Sus scrofa: one gene and its partners. The protein of the gene in region 1 purifies or fractionates together with the protein of each later gene. This does not show direct contact. Links are inferred from orthologs where the notes say so. Each region holds a gene or a part of one and is shown in the gene's direction. Other genes may lie near its edges.

Region 1 (6,807 bases):
GGAGGGCGACGAGTGGTACCTGGCTCTGTGCCTCGCGCCCCTTTGCCCTCGTCTTGTGACGCGCCCTGCCCTGGCAGGTGGTGAAGGCCTATGACCATCAGACGCAGGAGCTGGTGGCCATCAAGATCATCAAGAACAAAAAGGCCTTCCTGAACCAGGCCCAGATCGAGCTGCGGCTGCTGGAGCTGATGAACCAGCATGACACAGAGATGAAGTACTACATAGGTGAGGCCCGCCGCAGGGCTGTGTGGGGATGAGCCACCCTCAGTACCCGAGGGGGCTGCTGTCCTCAGGGCAAGGTGTGGTTTGTAATCCCCCACATCAGTGATTTCTCCTGCCACCCTCACAGTTTTTACCCTATTCACATGACAAAGCTGGTCAAAGTTTATTGGGTGCTCTCTAAGGGTCAGGCTCTGTTGTAAGAACTTTACGTAAGTTTTCCACAGCCCCATGGGAAGGAGCATCATTGCCCACAGCTTGGAGATGAAGAAACAGAGGCACTTAGGTGCTGTCACTTGCGTAAGATCGAGGTGTTTGTACTCAGTAGAGCTATGATTTGGCCAGACAGTGGATTCCAGAGCCTCCACTCTAAACGCCTCTGCTGGGTTTTTTCCTCTTTCCTGTACTGCTTCCTCTTAAGAAAAAGAAAGTGGATTTAAGGAGTGTGTTTCTTTTAAAAGGAAAATGCACCTCCTTACAGTAAATGGAAAGCAAGTATCCTTTGTCACAAAATAAACAGAACTGAGACTAAAACAATGTTATAAAATTAAACGGGGAAGTGTAGGGATGGTGTTAAAGACCCATCAGCACCGAATGGAAACTTTCTCTTTGGTTTAAATCAGAAAATGTGAGAGACTTGAAAAGCGAGCTAACTTAACTTCCTGTGTGAATCAGATTATAGACATAAAAACATCCTCAAGAAACAAAACAAAAAACCTCCCAGGGGGTTCCGTGGTGGTTCAGCGGGTGAAACATTCAGCGTTGTCGCTGCAGCCACCGGGTCGCTGCTGTGGCACAGGCACAGGTTCGATCCCTGGCCAGGGAACTTGCTCCTGCCATGGACACAACCAAAAAAAATAAGTAAATGAAATAAAATCCTGGCTAGCAGAACAGTTTGGCCTGTGCTCCAGAAGCAGAGACAAAGATCTCTTTATTATTGGGTACCCCAGGCCGCCACCGGCCCTCTCTCAGCCTTAATTTCTTCTCCTTCGGCCCATTTTCGCCTCCTTGCCAACAGTGCACCTGAAGCGGCACTTCATGTTCCGGAACCACCTGTGCCTGGTGTTCGAGCTGCTTTCCTACAACCTGTACGACCTCCTGCGCAACACGCACTTCCGCGGCGTCTCACTGAACCTGACGCGGAAGCTGGCGCAGCAGCTCTGCACGGCGCTGCTCTTCCTGGCCACGCCTGAGCTCAGCATCATTCACTGCGACCTCAAGCCCGAGAACATCCTGCTCTGCAACCCCAAGCGCAGCGCCATCAAGATAGTGGACTTTGGCAGCTCCTGCCAGCTCGGCCAGCGGGTGCGGCCCGGGGCGGGGCTAGAGGTGTGGGTGTGGCCAGAGAGTGGGCGGGGCCGACGGAGGACCAGGACGGGATTGGATGGTCGCGTGCAGCGGCCCGAGGGTAGTGCTTGGGACAGGGTGTCTGCAAGTACAGAGGGTGGGGTCATTGGGTGAAGAGGGTGATGGAGAGGGCCTTGGGGTGTCCTGCCCGAAGGACAGCGAAGAGTGGAGCCCGAGAGGACGAAGCCCGGGGCCAGTTTTGAGGCTGCCAGAATGGGGGAGGGGGAGGAGGAGTTGGGTGCCTTTGAGCCTGGGGTGGCACTTTGCTCCGTTTGTTTACCTTGTGCTCTTAAAGCTGGGGAGGGAAGAGGACAGGGCTCGTCAGCTTTGCAGCTTCCGGTGAGAAGGCCTTTGAGAAGACGCTGGTAGTGGTTTGAAAGGGTCTGGATTGGAAGGGTGGGAAGAGGCTAGGTCTGCGGATTGCCGGATCCTGGTGACCCATAGGGGCTCAGGGTCAGGCCAGGGGATGGAGATCGGGATCAGACTAGGCCAGCAGAGACTCCTGAAACTGATGAGTGAGGTAGTGGCAGCAATCCTTGGGAGGTTGTGCTGAAAACATCAGGGTTTGAAGACCCCCATCCCCAGTTCTGGAGGCAGGAGGCTTGTGCACAGTCAGTCCTCCTAGGTTTGGGGGTGTCGGGGGTACCCACAGGGAAGGCTGGGACCTCTGACTGTTGCCCTTTCCCCTCCCCCAGATCTACCAGTACATCCAGAGCCGTTTCTACCGTTCGCCTGAGGTGCTCCTGGGCACACCCTATGACCTGGCCATTGACATGTGGTCCCTGGGCTGCATCCTGGTGGAGATGCACACCGGAGAGCCCCTCTTCAGTGGCTCCAATGAGGTGTGCTCCCGAGGAGGGGGTGTGCTGGAGGGGGTGGAGGCCTGGCTGGCTGATGACCCTGACTGCCCGCCTGCTCCCAGGTGGACCAGATGAACCGCATTGTGGAGGTGCTGGGCATCCCACCAGCCCCCATGCTGGACCAGGCACCCAAGGCTCGAAAGTACTTTGAGCGGCTGCCTGGGGGTGGCTGGACCCTGCGAAGGACAAAGGAACTCAGGAAGGTGCGGCCCCTGCCCCACGCCGCTCCTCCCACCCCGGCGGCCCCTCACTCTCTCACACTTGGGGCGCCCTCCCCCTCTCTCCCTGCTGCCTCTCCCTTGTGTCTTTCCCTTCCTTCCTCTGCCCTGTCTTTTCCTTCCTCCCCCGCCCACCCCATCTCTCCTCCTACCCACCCCACAGCTCTTCTTAGCTTCTCTCTTTCTACTTTCTCTCTTGTGCCTCTGTCTCCCCATGTGTGTCTCCCTGCCCCTCCTGCCCACTGACGGCCACTCTCTTGCCCCCCCTCCCACCTCCCCCTGCCAGGATTACCAGGGCCCCGGGACACGGCGGCTGCAGGAGGTGCTGGGCGTGCAGACGGGCGGGCCCGGGGGCCGGCGGGCGGGGGAGCCGGGCCACAGCCCCGCCGACTACCTCCGCTTCCAGGACCTGGTGCTGCGCATGCTGGAGTATGAGCCCGCCGCCCGCATCAGCCCACTGGGGGCTCTGCAGCATGGCTTCTTCCGCCGCACGGCTGATGAGGCCACCAACACGGGCCCGGCAGGCAGCAGTGCCTCCACGTCGCCCGCGCCCCTTGACACCTGCCCCTCCTCCAGCACCGCCAGCTCCATCTCCAGCTCTGGTGGGTGCTCAGTGCCAGATGGGGTAAAACAGGGGTGGGGGCACCTCTGGTTTGGGCTGATCTGGGCAGCCCTGCCACTGAGCCTTCACCTAGAGCTTTGAAACTGCATGACCCTGAAACTCCAGAAGGGGTGGGCAGGCGAGCTCAGACTGGCCCTGACCTGGTCTCTCAAACTGAGCTCAGTTCTGACTCTTTGATGCCCTAAACTGAACTCTGACCCCTGGTCTCAAAATTGGGCCTGATCCTCCCAGTGGGTACCGCCCCAAAGTCTTAGACCTGAGCCTGGGCTGTGAACCAGACTCTGCCACCTGAAGACCCAGCCGCCCCGTCTCCTCGCCTAAGCCCTCTCCTCTCCTTCCCTGGCACTTCCAGGAGGCTCCAGTGGCTCCTCCAGTGACAACCGGACCTACCGCTATAGCAACCGATATTGTGGGGGCCCTGGGCCCCCCATCACTGACTGTGAGATGAACAGCCCCCAGGTAATGGGGCCTTGGGGACTCTGGAGGTGGGTGGTGGAGTATCTGGGGCTTCAGGACCTAGGTCTCCATCACCCACTGTTCCTTTGCTCCTTTAGGTCCCACCCTCCCAGCCGCTGCGCCCCTGGGCAGGGGGTGATATGCCCCACAAGACACATCAGGCCCCTGCCTCCGCCTCATCACTGCCAGGGGCTGGGGCCCAGTTACCCCCCCAACCCCGATGCCTTGGTCGTCCCCCATCACCAACCTCGCCACCACCCCCAGAGCTAATGGATGTGAGCCTGGTGGGAGGCCCTCCGGACTGCTCCCCGCCTCACCCGGCACCTGCCCCCCAGCACCCGGCTGCCTCAGCCCTCCGGACTCGGATGACAGGAGGTCGTCCACCCCTCCCACCCCCTGATGACCCTGCCACTCTGGGGCCTCGCTTGGGCCTCCGTGGTGTACCCCAGAGCACGGCAGCCAGCTCATGACCCTGCCCCCTCCCTGGGGCCCCTCCTGAAGCCATACCCCCCATCTGGGGGCCCTGGGCTCCCATCCTCATCTTTCCCCTTGACTGGAATTGCTGCTACCCAGCCGGGGTGGGTGAGGCCTGCACTGATTGGGGCCTGGGGCAGGGGGTCAAGGAGAAGGGTTCAGGTGCACCCTCCCCACTAAGGACTGGACCCTTGGCCCCCTCTCCCCCTGTGTTTTCTATTTATTGTACCAAAGACAGTGGTGGTCCAGCGGGAGGGGGAGAGTCCCCTCACCCCAGGGCCCTAGGAGGGGGTGGGGGCAGGTAGGGGGAGATGGCCTTGCTCCTCCTCGCTGTACCCCCCAGTAAAGAGCTTTCTCACATGCCCCGCCTGAGCGTTTGCAAGGCCTTGGCTCCCCTCACCCAGCCCTCAGCGGTGTGATGGGGAACGTGTTTGGGGAAGGGGTGCTGGAAGAGCTTTCTCATGTGGAACGCGTCCCCTGGGGACGTTAGCAGTGCTGATGCCAGACCTGGGGCTGTAGGCGGTCTGGGGCTGTGGAATCCTAGACAGAGACCCTGGAAAGCATCCTAGCCCACATTGCCTTATCTAGGGTAAACTAAGAAGGATAAAGGCCCAGCTCTGGCCTGTCTCTGGGAAACATCAGGTTCTGCCCTAGAAAGCCAGGGCTTCCACAGAGTCGGCACAGGCGTGGCTGCTTTTGCCAGGTGTCTAGTGGGTGATGAGTGCTTGTGGTCGGCCTGATTGGAGCCACCTGGGGATTGACAGGCAGTTTACGCCCCCCCCCCCCACGTCCGGCCTTTGGAATCATTACGGAGCAAAACGTTTTGAGAGTTCTCAGGCCAAGGGATAATTACCGGGGTTCCAGGTAAGTGGGCCTGTTTCCATGATAATTTGGAAAACTCTCCCGACCCGCCAATTAAGAGCCGCCAGGTTCAAAAGGTACCGTCCTGACCATTGGGGAGCGGTGCTTCCGGGAAGAGGAATTCTGCTTGGCGATATTGTCCCGGTTTTCGTTGCGGGACTACAAAGGCCAGAATGCTTTTCGCCAACTTGCTTAGGGGCGGGTTCTCAGGCAGCCAATCGGAGTCAGCGGCAGCTGGGGTCCGGATACTTGAGGTGAGCTAGCGAGGAGGAGAGGGCCGTGATTGGGTGGTTTTGGCTTGACTGCGCAAGTGCTGAGGTCTCGAGTGCGGAAGGTGGGTTTGTGTCCCGGGAGCTTGCAAGTTCAGCGTTTGCGGAGCAGGAGGTAAGCGCGGAGGCTTGACGCGGCTCCACCTTGCGGGATATCACCAGCGGCTCTGTCTGGCCTGACTCGCGGGAAGCTCCGCTTCCTTCGGTAGGAGACGGGTAAAGGCCCCGTTACAGCCCTGCATGTGTTCGCTAACCGAGGCGGCGTGGAATGCGGAGAGAACCTAGGCCCGAAACCGGTAGGCAAACCTTGGGCGAGGAGGAGCAGTCTGAGACCTGATACGGAGGGATGTTGGGGGTGGCGGTGATGCAGTGGGACGACTCGCGCAGAGGCAGCAATGAAAAACACCTGGTGTGTGAATGAACTGCAGGTGATTGGGTGTCGGTGGAAATCTTGCAAGTGCTTTGTGATTAGATCGTGGAAGATTTTGGTCATTTAGAGAGCTGGAACTTTGCCCTGAAGGCAGTGAGGGGCCACGAGCGGATTTCCAAAAAGTAGGGGACATAGCCCAATTTGCTGCCCTGAGGGAATAGAGTGATGGGAAAGAAACTAGGGTCTGAGCGCTCAGAGTGGCAGCTGTGGCATGATCCTAGGCAAGAGATGTCAGGTATGGACCAGGGCAGGGGTCTGGGATGGGAGAGGAGTATGAGTGTGGATGGGAGAGACGGAGTTGACAGGCTGTGTGGGAGAGGGAGGCCAAGATAGGCGGAAACGGATCTGTCCACGTAGAACAGTGCCAGGCATATGGGAAATGCTTAATACAATTTTTGGAATGAACAGCTCTAGAAAGCAGGTATTATTATGATCTCCCTTTTGCAAATGAGGTTGCTGATAATAGAGAAAATTAAATAACTTGCCCAAGATCACATAGCTAGGAAGTGGAGAGCTTGGGGTGGGTGGGTGGGTGTGTGTGCGAACCATTGACTTAGCAAGGTGCAAGATGAGCCTCACGACATCAGCAGGAGTCAAATCTTGTCGGTCCTTAAGGAATTTGTGGTAAGCATGGAAATGCATACTCCCAATTTATATTTGTAGCCCAGACAATATAGCTGTTAATTTCTCTTCTCAGATATTTCCAATTATCTTGAGAATAATTTTAGCCAAATTGAACTGAGTCTTTCCCCCAAAACATGTTCCTCCCATGTTCTTCTCAGGAAATGCCACTCCATCCTTGTAGTTGTTCAGACCAAAGGCTTGGAGTTTGTCCTTGACTCCCCTCTTTGTCTTATACTCGTGTCAGATCCATCAGCAGATGACTTCAAGGCATATTCAGAACTTGACCATTTCTTCCCACTTGCATTCCTGTCACCTTGATCCTGTCCACTCTCATCTCCTGCCCAGACTATCAGTGGTCTCCTTGCTCACCACTGTCTGTTCCTTACATGGAGCTAAAGGACACTGGGCACATCTGCATCTTGATCAC
Region 2 (7,998 bases), on another chromosome or scaffold:
CAAATCGGAGCTGCAGCTGCCAGCCTATGCCACAACCACAGCAACACCAGATCCAAGCCATGTCTTCTGCCTACACCACAGCTCCGGCAATGCTGGATCTTTAACCCACTGAACAAGGGCAGGGATTGAACTTGTATCCTCAGGGATCCTAGTCAGATTCGTTTCCACTGAGCCATAACGGGAACTCCCTAAAAATTTTTTTTCAAATTGCTCATGTTCATCTATAAAATTTTCTTTTTGCTGGAGTTCCCGTCATGGCTCAGTGGTTAACGAATCTGACCAGGAACCATGAGGTTTCGGGTTTGATCCCTGGCCTCGCTCAGTGGGTTAAGTATCTGGCATTGCTGTGAGCTGTGGTGTAGTCCGGCAGCTGTAGCTCCAATTCGAGCCCTAGCCTGGGAACCTCCATACACCTCGGGTGCAGCCCCAGAAAAGACAAAAAAAAATAAATAAAATTTTTTTTTTCTTTTTGCTATTAGTGACCACAGACACTTTTAAATTCAGTCCTCAGGGAGACGGTGTATGCTACAATTAAAACTGACAAATTGGAGTTCCCGTTGTGGCGAAGCAGAAACAACCCGACTAGGAACCATGAGGTTTCAGGTTCTATCCCTGGCCTCATTCAGTGGGTTAAGGATCTGGCATTGCCATGAGCTGTGGTGTAGGTTGCAGACATTATCTTGGATCTGGCTTTACTGTGGCTGTGGCATAGGCCAGGAGCTGTGGCTCCAATTCGATCCCTAGCCTGGGAACTTCTGTATGCCATGGGTGCGGCCCTAAAAAGAAAAAAAAAAACCCAAAAAACAAAACTGACAAATCGTTGGAGTTCCTGTTGTATTGCAATGGGATCAGCAGCCTCCTGGGAGCACTGAGACACAGGTTCAATCCCTGGCTCAGCACAATGGGTTAAGGATCTGGCGTTGCTGCAGCTGTAGCCTAGATAGCAACAGAAGTTCAGATCTGATCCCTGGCCAGGGAACTCCATATACCTCAGAGAGGCCAAAAAAGGGGGGAAAAAAAAACCTGACAAATTGTTTCTTTGTTCCTTTTTATTAGTTTTTGAAATAGGCCTAGGAATTTCTCTCTCAGGAAACTGTTAAGATTAAATTTGTCTGGCGTTCCCACTGTGGATCTGTCATTAAGGATCTGTCATTGCCACAACTCTGGTGTAGGTTCCAGCTGCGGCTCAGATTTGATCCCTGGCCTGGGAACTTCCATATGCCGGAGTGCAGCCCCCCCCAAAAAAAATTAAAGTTGTGAAATGAATCTAATACCAAGTACTTTCTTTCTGCCAATTCAGGTGGCAGACTTCTCTCCCCAAAACCCTAACCATACATGTTTGAATCTAGATTTTGCTCCCTACTGGATACAGAACTTTTTGATGAATTTGAAAAAGAGATCTGATACAGTTAGCTCCCATCAGCTAATGGATGAGATTAAAGGCATGGATAAAACCAGATTACAAGTTATCTGTGAAACTTCTGAGGAGCCACTTCCAGAGCTACACTAACATGAAATCCTTTGAAATATATCCAATGGGAGTAGTAAATAAACTATAAATTATGATGCAATGGATTTGAATTTTCAGAAATTTCTTGTGTGAAAGGCAGTTTTTCTCACAGCACTTGATAGGGGAAATTGCCAGTTTTTTCAGGTTGCAGACTTTTAAATGCCTATCTTCAATTCAGTTCCATTTTCAGTTCATCTTATGTTGTTGCCAAATTAATCTTTTTAGAACACAAATGTTACTCCCATTCAAAAAAACTTCAATAGCTTCCCACTGTCATAGAAATAAGTCAAAAACAATTAGCCTGATAATTAGTGCCACCATTATTTATGACCTACCTTCCCTCTACACTCTGGATTACCTAGGTCAGAGATTGGTAAACTTTCTGCAACCACTAATCTTTGCATGGCCTTCAAGAATGATTTTTACATTTTTAAAGGGTTGAAAAAGAAAATCAGAGTTCCCATAGTGGCTCAGCAGAAACGAACCTGTCTAGTATCCATGAGGAAGCAGGTTCTATCCCTGGCCTCACTCAGTGGGTTAAGGATCTGGCGTTACTATGGCTGTGCTGTAGGCCGGGCAGCTGCAGCTCAGATTTCAACCTCTAGTCTGGGAACCTCCATATGCCGCGGGAGCAGCCCTAAAAAGAGGCTACCAGTGGAATTGGAGTTGTAGCTGCTGGCCTTCACCACACCACTGCAACTTGGGGTCTGAGCCTTGTCTGCAACCTACACCCCAGCTGACCGCAAAGCTGGATCCTTAACCCACTGAGCAAGGTCAAGGATCAAACTCGCATCCACATGGATCCTAATCCAGTTCGTTTCTGCTGAGCCAGGAAAGGAACTCCAGACTCAAACATCTTGATGTATTTTGTTTTCCGAAATAAGCAGTAGGCTCCTTAGAATGACAGTATTTTTTTTTTTTTTTTTTTTAAAGGGCTACGTGGGCAGTATATGGAAGCTGCCAGGCTAGGGGTCAAATCAGAGCTGTAGTTGCTGGCCTACCCACAGCCACAGCAAGGCCAGATCTGAGCCGCAATCTGCAACCTACACCACAGCTGATGGCAGCTCCCCACCCTTAACCCACTGAGGCTAAGGATCGAACCCGCATCCTCATGGATAATCCAGTTTGTTATTGCTGAGCCACAATGGAACTCCAGAATCACAGTATTTGAGAGCTGGGGTTTAACTTTCTTTAACAGGATTGGAGCCTAGGGTCCAATGTCTGTAGTTCCCAACACCTGCCTTGCATAGCATAGACACTAATTAATGCTGCATATGAAGCTTCCAAACACTCTCCAAAATGTCTTACGGCACTTTCCTTAAACCTCCTCTGTGTCCTAACAAGCAGCGTATTGATGTATTTCTCCCTTACTTCCCGGCTAAGCGATTTCTAGAGTGGACAAGTTACCATTTTGATTCTCTTGGTTAGTAACACCCATTAGCACCTAACCAGGTAACAGCTGAAAAAAGATGAGGTTTCCCCCCTCCCCTACAGGATCAGCCTGGAGACTCCAAGTGTCCTGGTCTCTCCATTCCCGCAAACTTAGACTCATTTAATAACTTTCCTCTCGCATCAAAGCAGGTGCGAATGCCGGTCAGCCAAAGACCTCGAATTTCCGCGGCCCCTGGACAGGTTCTCCACCCCTCAGAAAGACGGCGAGGAGGACCCAGGCCTGTGACTCAGGTTAGCCCTTTCCCTCAAATATCACCAGCGGAGGCTTTGCCCATCTTTTTGCCGTAGACTGTTTTCTCAGTGAGCCGATGTACTCCCTCAAGTAACCGATCCCCTATTTCACTTTTCAAGCCTCCAGACTCTGCGTCCATCCGCCTCGGCCTTCCTCCCTCGGTTAACGCGACAGTTTCTCGGGGAGATCGCCCAAGGCGCGTGGCAGGGCGGTTAGGCGACCAACGGTTTCCACCGCGAGGAGGGGGGAGCGGGCAAAGCGGCGGGAACCAGTCGAGCCGGAGGCAGCCGACGTGGGGCGGGGCCAGCCCCGGGAAGGATCGCGAAGGAGCTGGGAAGCCCCGCCCTTTCCGTAGATATCTCTAGAAAGCCGCGCAGGAGCCCGAAAACAAAGAGTGCGCACGCGCGGCGGCTGGGCCCGGGCATTTTGCTGCGTCACCAGCCGCCGCCCGGCCTCACCACCCCTCGCTCGCACGCACGCACGTTCATTCTCCGTTCTCGCGCCCCTTTTCCTACACTTTCCTTTTCTCCCCGACCGGAGGAGTCGCTCTGCCCGCGCGGTGCATTCTGGGAACCCAGGTCTAGCCCGCCGCGCCGCCGCCGTCGCTTGAGGGAAAAGCGAAAAGAGGCCGCAATCGGGGAGAGGACGCCAGAGTCGCCACCGGAGAGGAGTCGACTGCCTACCAGCTGCCGCCGGAGAGGCCCGCCCACCCGTTCGCCCGTCCCCTTGCCCCGTTCACGATGTGAGTGCGACACGCCACCCAGGGAAGGTCGCCCTGGAGGGAGGCCGAGGCCGCGCGGGGGGGTGCCGGGAAGCCATCCCTTCCCCTCCCCCGCTTTCGGCTCCCTCGGCTTTTTCCCCCTCGGTAGCATTCGTTCTTGCTTGGGGGTGGGAGGTCCAGTATCCTTGTTCCGGTTACCGTTGGCGGGTGGAGGACATTTTTCCTCCAGATGTCCGCTTCCCCCATCTCTAAACCTTCCCTTTGCTTCCCCGTGCCGGAAACCCCACTTTCCCCCTTCGGCAGTGAGGGCTGCTCCCAACTCTTCGTAACTTAGCCTTAGGCCTTAATCTCCTGTGAGCTTTTGGCCACGCGGGCGCCTCGGAGGCGTGGACCCTCGTGGGCTGCCACTCCGCTCCTAGCGACCTAGGTCTGCTTCTGCCGCTGTGTGATGCTGGGACCAGGCCCGGGGACAAGTGCACCTGCGGTGGGTCCTACCCCACAGCTGCTGGTGCTCTTCGTAAGGCACCACGCGGCCCTCCACTGCGAGCGACAGGTACTGCTAGGCAACTGGAGGGAGGGAGGCCATGCTGTCGCCGCAACTTACTTCCCTCTCGGTGTCGTGATTGCCAGAGTATGGGTGTTTCCAGGCTTCTTCTTAACTCAGTCTCGCGAAGGGAGTGGAGGTTGCCAAAACTCAGCCGTTTCCCTGGTAGCGAGGCTTTACAATTGAGCAGGGAGTTCTGCACTTGTTAGAGTTGAAAGATACTTAGGGATATTTTCTGTGAAACTTTAGGTGAGGTTTCGTTATCCTATTTTAATTTAAGGATGAAACAGGTAGGTAATTGCCTTTTTGTTGCCTTAAGTTTGTTTACGTGGGGGTAATTTCAGATCTTTTAAAAGTCTTAGTTTTATGATAAAGGAAAACATTTTAACCGAGTGCGGTCTCTTGCATTGCCATTCCCAGCTTTACATTCTTTTCAGGAAAAGCCTTACCTTTTCAGATGTGAGAACTGCCTATTTTACAGTTTTTTGGTACCACGTACTCCTGAAAGTTACCTATGGAGATCAATTGAGGGGAAGAATTTTTATTTCTATAAAAAGTAATGGATTTTCAAGGGTTTACCTAGTAAAATGGTGATATTTGTGGTGAGTATATTGAATTAGATGTCTAAATGAATAAGGATACACTGTAGCCAATTGATGGAGAAGAAGGTTTGAGAAGAATGCATGTATTACTGTAAAATGACATGTTAGAATTTTGGAAGGATTTCCCCCATCCCAAGAAGTGGTATGTAATAGAAGACTTTAATCTGTGTAAAAGAACTTGTACTTTTCTTTTTGAAATTTCTATTCCAAATAATGTAGCAGGATTGTCATTTGTGAGAAAATGAATCTGGAGATAAAGCATTACCAACTTTTAGTAAACTAATGTAGCGGAACAAGAAATATCTTTATATGAAGAGATAACATGTTTAATACGGTTTGAAGTAGAAACACTTTTCAGAGATCATGTAGAATTGGTAAATAGGTAAGAAATGTTAAGTTATATAAAGAACTCAATGAAAAGTCTAACAATCAGTATTCCAAAAAGCAATCTATAATTAGAAGAATGCTATTTTGAAAATGAGTGTTTTGAAGAGACCAGGTAAATTTTACTCTGTTTAGTCAATATATGACATCTTGCAAATTCTTTAGGGGATCTTATTAATTAATGACTGAATGAATTTACAAGATGAATATTACCAGTCAGTTACTTGAGCTGGAGAAGACTTTTATTTTTGTTGTTGTCTTTTCTAGGGCCGCACCCCAAGCATATAGAGGTTCACAGGCTAGGGGCCTAATTAGAGCTGTAGCTGCCAGCCTACATCAGGGCCACAGCAACTCGGGATCTGAGCTGCGTCTGCACCCTACACCACAGCTCACAGCAACGCTGGATCCTTAACCCACTGAGCAAGGCCAGGGATTGAACCCGCAACCTCATGGTTCCTAGTCTCGGGTTCGTTAACCACTGAGCTACAGCGGGGACTCCGGAAAAGACTTCTAATGGGTCATCCAGCTCTAGAGAGAATCTGGCTGATGAAGATTCATTTTGTTGGGTTCTATAAACTTTTTTTTTAGCTGTGGAGAGACTTTTTGCTTTTTAAGGCTGCACCTGTGGCATCTGGAGGTTACCAGGCTAGGGGTTGAATCAGTTACAGATGCTGGCCTACGCCACAGCCATAGCAAATGCCAGGCCTGAGCCTGGTCTGCTGCCTACACCACACAGCTCATGGCAATGCCATGTCCTTAACCCACTGAGTGAGGCCAGGGATCGAATCTGCAACCTCATGGTTCCTAGTCGGATTCGTTTCTCCTGGGCAAGGCTGGGAACTCCTGGAGAGACTTTTATGCTGGACATCTTGAAGGTTTTAGAGTGTATTTTTTTATCATGTGATTGCTCTTCAGTCATGATTTTCTAGGTAGATTTCTTTTAATCAAGTTTTTAAGTTTTGTCCAATAGTTTGCATAAAAGCTCTCTCAACTGGAGAAGGCTGGGATTTTAGGACTGCTCCTTTTAAGACCAGCTCAAATCCCCTGCAGGGGGTGCTACTTTATCTCCTTTCTTTTTTTTTTTTTTTTTAGTTATTTTAACTCTAATTTTAGGTTGGACCTATTTATCTAATAACACGAGATGTAAGATAAAATGGTTATGAGCTATTTGAGGTCATTCTTTTTGGTATCTTGTACTTAAAGTAACGAATGGTCAGAGACAAACAGCATCGCTGGCATTGGTTAAAATCTTACTTTGCTTTACTAAGTGAAGTAAGTCAGAAAGAGAAAGTCAAATACCATATAATATCACTTATATCTGGAATCTAATATATAGCATAAACGAACCTGTCCACAGAAAAGAAAATCATGGACAGGGAGAACAAACTTGTGGTTGCCAAGGGGGAGGGATTGGGATAGACTGGGAATTTGGGGTTAATAGATGCAAACTATTGCCTTTGGAATGGATAAGCAATGAGATCTTGCTGTATAGCATTGGGAAATGTAGCTAGTCACTTATGATAGAGCGTGATAATGTGAGAAATGAACATGTATACATGGATGTGTGGCTGGGTCACCTTACTGTAGAGTAGAATATTGACAGAACACTGTAAACCAGCTGTAATGAAAGGAAAAAAAAAACTTTGAGATAGGAGTTCCTGTCGTGGCACAGTGGTTGCGGGTTTGGTCCCTGGCCTTGCTCAGTGGTTAAGGATCTGGTGTTGCTGCGAGCTGTGGTGTAGGTTGCAGACGTGGCTTGGATCCCATGTGGCTGTGGCTGTGGCGTAGGCTGGTGGCTATATCTCTGATTAGACCCCTAGCCTGGGAACCTCCGTATGCCTCAGGTACAGCCCTAGAAAAGGCCAGAAAAAAAAATTTTTTTTGAGATGTATAAAAGATGAGTGAAACTAGTCTTAAAGAATCTTTTACTTGTTAGAAATGTTTAGTTTTTCCTGAATGTAGGGGATGCATAATGCCATTATTAAAGCTCTAGTAGTCTTCTGACTACTATTCTTAGAGTTTAGGAGTTCCCACTGTGGGTTAAGAAAAACAATAAATTCATAAAGGGACTATTGTTGATAACTTCTGAATATAGTATATGAGGTTGTATACTATTAGAGAATATCGTAATGTAGACATTAAGGACATAATTATAGATCAGGTATCTTTCAGAGTACTGATAACTAAAAAACATAATGATTCATTACATATTTATATGTTAAGAAAGATAATCCAGGAGTTCCTGTTGCACAGAGGTAATAAACCTGACTAGTATCCATAAGGACACGAGTTCAATCACTGGCCTAGCTCAGTGGGTTAAGGATCCAGCTTTGCCATGAGCTGTGGCATAGGTTGCAGGTGTGGTTTGGATCCCAAGTTGCTGTGGTGTAGGCCAGCAACTATAGCTCCAATTTGACCCCTAGCCTGGAAACTTTCAAATGCCACAAAAAGAAGCCCCAAAAAAGGAGATAAGCCTTGGAGTTCCCGTTGTGTCTCAGTGGATTAACCTGACTGTTATCCGTGAGGATGCAGGCTTAATTCCACTTGCTCAGT
Region 3 (8,010 bases), on another chromosome or scaffold:
AGGGGCTCCTGTCACCCCTGGCCTCCCCTCTGCATCCCCTGGAGGTACAGGGACTCGTCTGTGGCCCCCGCTTTCCCTCCCTCCCTGAACACCTCAGCTCTGTCCCCAAACAGCTGGAGGTCCAGAGACATGGCTCAGATCCTGGATTTGCAGGGAATTAGAGCCACTGAACCCCAAGATAAAAGACGCCATGAAGGAACTGAAGGTGGGTGAGGTGACAGTTAAGGATTTAGGGACGCCTCTGAGAACCATTCACCTAGAGTAGCTACAAATGGCCAGTCCAGGTGACCCAGGATGGCATGGATGAAGAGGCTCAGGACTTTTCTGACACCCCCCCCGCCCCCCCGCCACCGCCGGGGTTGTTTAGGTGGCCGGCCTGGTGGGGGTGGGTGAGCTTAGATGTGGAGGTAGCTTATGGGACAGAGGGGCCTGTGAAGAAAGGAGACACTTCTGATCTTCTGTGTGACGGCCTTGCTCTGTGCTGGGTACAGTCACCTCCCCGCTCAGAACTCTCCCCACCACACAGCCCAGCCCCCATGGCTGGTCAGGACCTCCTGCTGAGAGCCTGTGAACCAGCTGGAGGTGAAAGTGTCCTCTGCAGAGGACTCAGCAGGGCACAGAGCTCCAGCTCCCAGCCACTCTGCCCCTGATGGTTCTGTGATGACCTTGGGACCTAGTGGGCAGTGCCGCATCTCACAGCTAATAAAGTCTGCACATTTCATGTCGGGCTGGGCGTGTAACGTTCCTGAGGGTCCTTGATTGGGCTGTAACTCTGCCAGCTGTGGTCGCCTCCAAGTCCTTCTCCCAAGGAGCTGTGTGTTGGGGACCTGAATGTGGCTGCGGGGGGCTTTTAGGCACACTGGGGTGAAGGGAAGCAGAGCAGTGCCGGCTTGGTGGCCATAGGGAATCGTGACCACAGCCAGCACTTTTAAGGCACTCACTCTGTGTTTGTGGGCACCAGGCTGACTGTGCTGCAGATACGAGTTCATCAACTCTTTATAACAACCTTACAGGGCCGGTATTATCATCCCCAGTTTAGAGGTGATGAATCTGAAGCAGAGAGAGACTAAGAACTTTACCCAAGCAAGAGGGGGAACTTTTTGGGGGTTGTTCTGTTCCTGACCTAATTGCTGATTACATGACTGCGTCTCAGGTTGTAAAAATATGTACAGTTTCTATGTGTAAATTATACTTTGATTTAAAATAGAGTATTTTCCAAAAATATAGGCAAAGGAGACATAATTTCAACCCAGATGGTCTTGTTTGAGAACACATGCAGTTAAGTATCCCACTGAAATGGACTGTTGTCAAAAAGTCACTGGTCCTGTCCTTTTTCAGTACTCCCTAAAAAAATTTTGAAAATGTATCCCCCAGCCCACATTTTTAGTTAACATCTGAAGTATTTTACTGATGTGCTTAAAGGGTTGCAAAGGACATAATTTACAGAGTATTGTAAATATTGACTTTTTATAACATGTTTAATTTATATTGCTTTATTTCAATCCCAGTAACAGTGATTAAGAAGCCAAAATCATTCATTTTAAAAACAGAACAAGCTCTTCTTTAACGTCGTTCCTTTTTTTGTACTCATCATTTCACTCTATTCCATCCGCAGTTTATCCAACATGTAATTTATTTCCATGCTTGAAAGTCTACTACTAATAACCTTATCATATCTACTTGTAACACATATATATAAATTGAAATTTTAAAATTGTTTCTAACCTAAGACTTTAAGGGTTACACTTATTAGTACTGAGTTGTTCAAAACAACATAAATATCTCTATTTAAATTTATTTATTTATTTATTTTTGGTCTTTCTGCCTTTTCTAGGGCCGCTCCTGTGGCATATGGAGGTTCCCAGGCTAGGGGTCTCATCAGAGATGTAGCCGCCGGCCTACACCAGAGCCACAGCAACTCAGGATCCGAGCCATGTCTGCGACCTACACCACAGCTCACGGCAACGCCCGATCCTTAACCCACTGAGCAAGGCCAGGGATAGAACCCGCAACCTCATGGTTCCTAGTCGGATTCGTTAACCACTGAGCCACAACGGGAACTCTTCTCTATTTAAATTTTTATAGAAACTAAAATTTTACTGGAAATACAGCTCTTAAGAGAGGGTATTTTCCTCTCAATTAGTCCATGTATGTGAATGAATATTATTTTTTTATTAGAGGAAGACATAAACACAGAAAACTTGTTCACCTACGGAAGTGGATAGGACTGTGAGGAGTTTGTTACATTAAACAGTGTCACTCAGTCACTCAATTCTTTGAATTCTTTCTTTTTTTTTTTTTGGCCACCTGGAAGCACATGGATATGGAGTTCCCTAGCCAGGGATCAGATCCCAGCTGCGGTTGCCGTCTACACTGCAGCTGTGGCAACCCTGGATCCTTAACCCACTGTGTGGGGCTGGTGATCAAACGTGCGTCCTTCTTTCTGAGTTTTCTGTTAACAATCACTTTTATCACTAAAAACTATATATATATAGTCTTTTTAAGGTCACATGTGCCCTAACTATTGAGGTTCCCACGATAAGGATCGAATCAGAGCTGTAGCCGCTGGCCTACACCACAGCTCATGGCAATGTCGGATCCTTAACCCACTGAGCGAGGGCAGGGATCGAACCTGCGTCCTCATGGATACTAGTCAGATTTGTTTCCATTGAGCCACAACAGGAACTCCACTAAATACTATATTTAATGATATATTATCTAACAATTCAATACAATTTTTTGCTTAGTTTTGTTGAAAGCAAATTATTGGAAACCATTTAAATTATAAAGAGATGTTACCTAGATTCTGACCCTTCCCCATTTCAAATTCAAGACACTTATATATTTAAGGCTAGATTAGCATTTGCCTTGGGACGCTCGTGGGAAAAGATGGAAACAGAAGCTGACAGCCACGCTGGCGGGGTTGCTGCCTGCTGAAGACCAATCCTCTAATTCCAAGCACTTCTAGAATGGCCAGGAAAGGTTGACTGAAGCTGGCCTGGTCCTGAGTAGAGCGGCGTGTCCGCCGTCTGCCCTTGGTACGCTGGGAGAACAACATTCCAATTTAAAGGAGGCGTTGGCGAAGCAGGGAAATAAAGGGGTTTCCCTTCGGCGCAGGCCCGTCCGCAAGGCCCGGGAGCTCAGTGCCGCGAAACGCAGCAGGCCCTCTCGTAAGGCAGACTTTTCATTTTCACTCGCCAACGTGGAGAATCCGGTCAGAATAGCAGCTGCAGTGGGGAAGTCAGAGCAGTCACGTAAGAGGTTTCACTCTCAGAGACTTGGCCTAGAACTTGGAGGCCTGCTGCACAGTACGCGAGCTTTTAAGCCGCCCACACCCCGATTCACCCGCACTGCGCCGTTATCTCTCTGACTGACATCTTTGTCAGCCAATGACCTTTGTGGCTGTGAAAGCGCCTGCCCCCTGGAGTTGGGCAGAGCAAGTAATCGGAATGACAACCATACGCACCAATAGCAAGGAGGTTTCAGAAGCTACGGGTACACTAGCCAATGAGGAGAAGGAGCCGTTCGAAAGGACGTGTCAGGTAGCCAACGGCCGGCGCCGCTGAGGGGGTCGCGTGGCTTCCGTTCTAGAGGGTGGGGCGGGGTCTCAAACGGAAGGTGGTTGTTGTCCGAGCCGAAGCAGGTTTGAAAGTGGGGGTCGGGCTCGGCTGTCGTTGTCTGTAGCAGCGGCCCCGCTTCCGGGCTAGGCTGTCCGTACCCGCCCCCGCCCCGCCTCCCTTCGGACCCCTCCGTCCCAGGCCTGACTCCCTGCCCGATTCGCGCCCCGCCCGCCGCAGCTCGCTGCCGTCCCGGCCCGCACTGCGGCCCCGCCGCCGCCACTATGTCCCTGCACGGCAAACGGAAGGAGATCTACAAGTATGAAGCGCCCTGGACCGTCTACGCCATGAACTGGAGCGTGCGGCCCGACAAGCGCTTTCGCCTGGCGCTGGGCAGCTTCGTGGAGGAGTACAACAACAAGGTGGGCCGGGCAGGGGCTCGGAACCCAGCTAGAGGGACGCGGGCACCTGGAGCGCCCTTTCCCGGCCGGAGCTCAGACCCCAGGACCCTCCTGCGGACCTGCCTTAGCGCCACGGAGCGGTTCCTCTGTGTCTGGCCCTGTGCAGAGGGTTTCGCTCTCGTCTCATTTAATCCTTGCAGCATTCCTGGGTAGTCAGGAGTGTAGTTACCCGCATTTTACCGATGGGGGAACTGAGGCACCGTGTTGTGACTTGCCCCAGTCAGACAGCTATTGCGTGACGGAAACAGGTCTCAAACCCAAGTTTGCAGCGCAGAGCTGTGCCGTTTATCACGCCTATCCCCTCCTCTCCTGCAGCTTCAGTTGGGGGGCGGAGGAGGGATGAGGGAGTGATGGCTGCGAAGAAGATGCTGGAGCCCCGTGGTCCTTCTCCCCTGGCCACACTAGATTTCTATTAGGACTGTTTAGCAGGTTTCACCGCCCCCTGTTCCCTGGATTTCCCCAGCCTTTCTGCCGGGATTGCCATTGCTATTGCTGCCTCATATTCGTCCTCTTCAAAGCTATCTCTTTTTGGAAATCTTGCCAATGGCTATTGTCTTCTGCATAGAAAAGGGTGATGCTTGCCATTTGTTTTCTTGGCATCTTTCATGCTGATACAGACAAGTAACCTGGAGTAGAAGTAAGTCTTTCTGGACATCCACAATTTGAGAATCCTTTTTAGAAGCGCGGTTAATAGGAGGAAGCTTGAAGCTGGCAGTGACACATAAATTTAGTTTTGGAAGTTGAATAAGTTAGTGGAAAGAATTTTCTTTCCATTACTCCGTAGTTTGCCATTTATTGTATTAGAGTAAGCGTTGTGATTGACTGATAGTGATCAGAGCAACTGAGAGCCATGCTTAGTGGTGTTTAAAACCTGTACACCTGCTTGACACCAGGAACAGTCTAATTTAAGAATAAATTGTGGGCAGAGGCATGGTGCAGGGGAAAAGGCCAGGTGCTCTAGGATTAGGCCTTGTCTAGTCCACTGATTAGCTGTGGGACACTGCATAGGTAAGTTTTATTATTTCTGACCCACAGTTTGTTGTAGGAAAGAAGTCCTTTAGAAAACATTTGAGCATTGTAATTTTGTTTGCAGGTTTTCAGGAGCACATCTTAGAATTAGATCTTAAGGAGTTCTGGTTGTGGCTCAGCAGTGACGACCCGACTAGGATCCATGAGGAGGCTGGTTGGATCCCTGGCCTTGGTCAGTGGGTTAAGGGTCTGGCGTTGCCAGGAGCTGTGGTGTAGGTCACAGACACAGCTTGGATCCCAAGTTGCTAGAGCTGTGGTGTAGGCCGGCAGCTGCAGCTCCAATTTGACCCCTGGCCTGGGAACTTCCATATGCTGTATGTATGCCTTCCCTCCCCCCAAAAAAATTAGGTCTTAAATTTTTTGTAATCCTTTTTGAGAAATTGATGAGAACAATGGACTCTTGTTGCCCAGACATCCCACATACACACTTTACAAACAAATCCCTGAAAGTATGCACTGATCTCGGAGTCCACGATTTCCCACAGAAACCAGAGAGTCCTGAAAAGACATAGCTTTATTTTTCTTCTGGAGCCTCTTTCTTCCTTATGGCACATAGTGGACCGCAGAGCTGCTAAAGTGAAATTCAGGGTCCTGATGTGTAAACTGAATTAGTAAAGTTGAGAGCACTAGAACTGTTGTTTAAGAATACATGTTTAAACAAAGGGGGGGTGGTAGTAAAATACATCTTTCAAAGGGCTTGAGTCTTTTCACACAGACGGATGGATTTTTTTTTCTTGCAAGGTCAATTTAGGTAAGCAGTAGCAGCCCCATTTCTAAGAGATGAGAAACCAAGCCACAGTTAGGCTGCTGGTAGAATCAGTGGAGTAATTGGTGTCAAACTTTGGTTGCAGGAACTCTGCCCCCAAATTTATCCTTTCAATTATGGAGCTCCTTCTTTGTGCCAGGCACGCAGGCAGTGTGGTTTTAGTCGTAAAATGCTAATTGATAATCCCAGTAGTAATAGAATAAGCAGTTACCTCTGTCTTAACTCACTTGCGTAATGTGGGCAACGTGGTGTCTTAAAATGGTTTTTGTGTCCCCTGCCCCAGGTCAGAGTTCTTGTGTGTGTATATGTGTTTGATGGACAGCTTTGGCAGTCGGAAGCCAATAGACCTCTGTTCATAATTATGTTTTCAAATGCATAAAATACATGGGATTACAAAGGAAACCAACCATATGACTCATAGTTACTAAAAACATTTTTTGGAGTTTTCTCATGGTGCAGCGGGTTAAGGATCCGGTGTCGTCACTGCATCGCCTTGAGTTGCTGCTATGGCTCTGGTTCAATCTGATCCCTGGCCCTAGAACTTTCGAGTGCCGTGAGCATAGCAAAAGGCAAAACTATTTATTTTTTTTAGAAGTAGGTTAGAAGAGGTTTAGTGAATATACTGCTAAGGGAAGCAGTGGGCAGGAGAGCTTGTCTGTCCTGGGCTAGTGGTTTGGGCTCTTTTTATTAAGGGAACTGGCTTCTGACTGTCCTGTCTCAGTTTCCCCCATGTAAATAAGGGATTGAAACATGGCAGTTCTGAAAAAAAATTTTTTTTAAGTGGTAATGCGTACTTTTAAATTAACTCATTAAATCACATCAACCATTTTAATCATTAATTTTGAAGTACCCATAAGGGTAAACAGCATCTCAGTATATTCACTGTAATGTGATAGGAAAAACATCGGTGATTTCTATTGGTGACAAATCAGATATGGATGCTGCTGTGAGTAGCTGCCTCCATTTATAATGGAAGGAAATGCTACATTTCAGCTAGAGGTTGTGAAAATATAAAAGTGATTTTCCAACTCATCTTCGTCAACATTAAGATGAGAAACCCCGCTGTAGAGGATTTGTGTGTAGGAGCTGGTGGCCAGTAAATCTCACTTTATCAAGCTCAGTTTTGGAGAAACTTTGCCAAGAAGGTGCAAGAGTTCATAATTTAGAGGAATTTAAAAATTATTGGTTAGGAGTTCCCCTCGTGGTACAGTGGAAACGAATCCAACTAGGAACCATGAGGTTGTGGGTTGGATCCCTGGCCTTGCTCAGTGGGTTAAGGATCTGGCTTTGCCGTGAGACGTGGTATAGATTGCAGAGGTGGCTCGGATCTGGCGTTGCTGTGGCTTTGGCATAGGCCGGTGGCTACAGCTCCAATTGGACCCCTAGCCTGATACAGCCCTAAAAAGACCAAAAAAAAAAAAAAAAGTAAAAATTATTGGTTAAAATTCTCAAACCTTGGAGTTCCTGTTGTGGCTCAAGGGTAACAAATCTGGCTAGTATCCGCGAGGACTTGGGTTCTATCCCTGGCCTCACTCAGGCAGGGGGTTAAGGATCTGGCATTGCCATGAGCTGTGGTGTAGGTCTCAGATGCGGCTCAGATCCTGTTACTGTGGCTGTGGTGTAGGCTAGCATCTACAGCTCCGATTCAACCCCTCGCCTGGGGACCTCCATATGCTGCAGGTTCGGCCCTAAAAAGACCAGAAAAAAAAAGGAGTTCCTGTCGTGGTGCAGTGGTTAACAAATCCGACTAGGAACCATGAGGTTGCGGGTTTGATTCCTGGCCTTGCTCAGTGGGTTAAGGATCCAGCGTTGCCATGAGCTGTGGTGTAGGTCGCAGACGTGGCTTGGATCCCGTGTTGCTGTGGCTCTGGTGTAGGGCGGTGGCTACAGTTCCAATTAGACCCCTAGCCTGGGGACCTCCATATGCCACGGGAAGTGGCCCTAGAAAAGGCAAAAAAAAAAAAAAAAATTATATTACTCTTTTCCTGTAGTGAAATTATTTGCAGTTGGATAGAATTAAAAATGTTAGCATTTCAAGAACAACTTGACTTCCAGGTGTTATATCATCTGAATACATTTGGGAATTGTTGCAAAGAAAAGAATTAGATTCTATCAACTACACCTGGAATAAAGAGTCCCACTCTTGGTAATTGTGTTTTCTGTCCTTTTTTTTGTGGTCTCGGCTGGGGATTAGAAC

The links. Proteins that work in one complex are often made in the same cells at the same time.
Region 2: the proteins of DYRK1B (region 1) and PTGES3 purify together in Homo sapiens (affinity purification with mass spectrometry; 3 studies listed by BioGRID and IntAct, with this or other methods). This does not show direct contact. The link is inferred for Sus scrofa from reciprocal best matches to the Homo sapiens genes DYRK1B and PTGES3.
Region 3: the proteins of DYRK1B (region 1) and DCAF7 purify together in Homo sapiens (affinity purification with mass spectrometry; 10 studies listed by BioGRID and IntAct, counting the BioPlex papers as one, with this or other methods). This does not show direct contact. The link is inferred for Sus scrofa from reciprocal best matches to the Homo sapiens genes DYRK1B and DCAF7.

Annotation. Positions count from the first base shown.
Region 1 is NC_010448.4:48,303,595-48,310,401, reverse strand, and holds the end of DYRK1B (dual specificity tyrosine-phosphorylation-regulated kinase 1B), read left to right. Parts: intron 1-77; coding exon 78-225; intron 226-1,237; coding exon 1,238-1,524; intron 1,525-2,261; coding exon 2,262-2,408; intron 2,409-2,488; coding exon 2,489-2,629; intron 2,630-2,930; coding exon 2,931-3,246; intron 3,247-3,618; coding exon 3,619-3,725; intron 3,726-3,820; coding exon 3,821-4,192; 3' UTR 4,193-4,565; downstream 4,566-6,807.
Region 2 is NC_010447.5:22,017,279-22,025,276, reverse strand, and holds the start of PTGES3 (prostaglandin E synthase 3), read left to right. Parts: upstream 1-3,577; 5' UTR 3,578-3,934; coding exon 3,935-3,936; exon of another isoform or gene 3,937-4,468; intron 4,469-7,998. UniProt on the Homo sapiens protein: Cytosolic prostaglandin synthase that catalyzes the oxidoreduction of prostaglandin endoperoxide H2 (PGH2) to prostaglandin E2 (PGE2).
Region 3 is NC_010454.4:15,346,576-15,354,585, reverse strand, and holds the start of DCAF7 (DDB1- and CUL4-associated factor 7), read left to right. Parts: upstream 1-3,589; 5' UTR 3,590-3,841; coding exon 3,842-3,979; intron 3,980-8,010. Other genes in the region: KCNH6 (potassium voltage-gated channel subfamily H member 6), read left to right, coding at 1-161. UniProt on the Homo sapiens protein: Involved in craniofacial development. Acts upstream of the EDN1 pathway and is required for formation of the upper jaw equivalent, the palatoquadrate. The activity required for EDN1 pathway function differs between the first and second arches.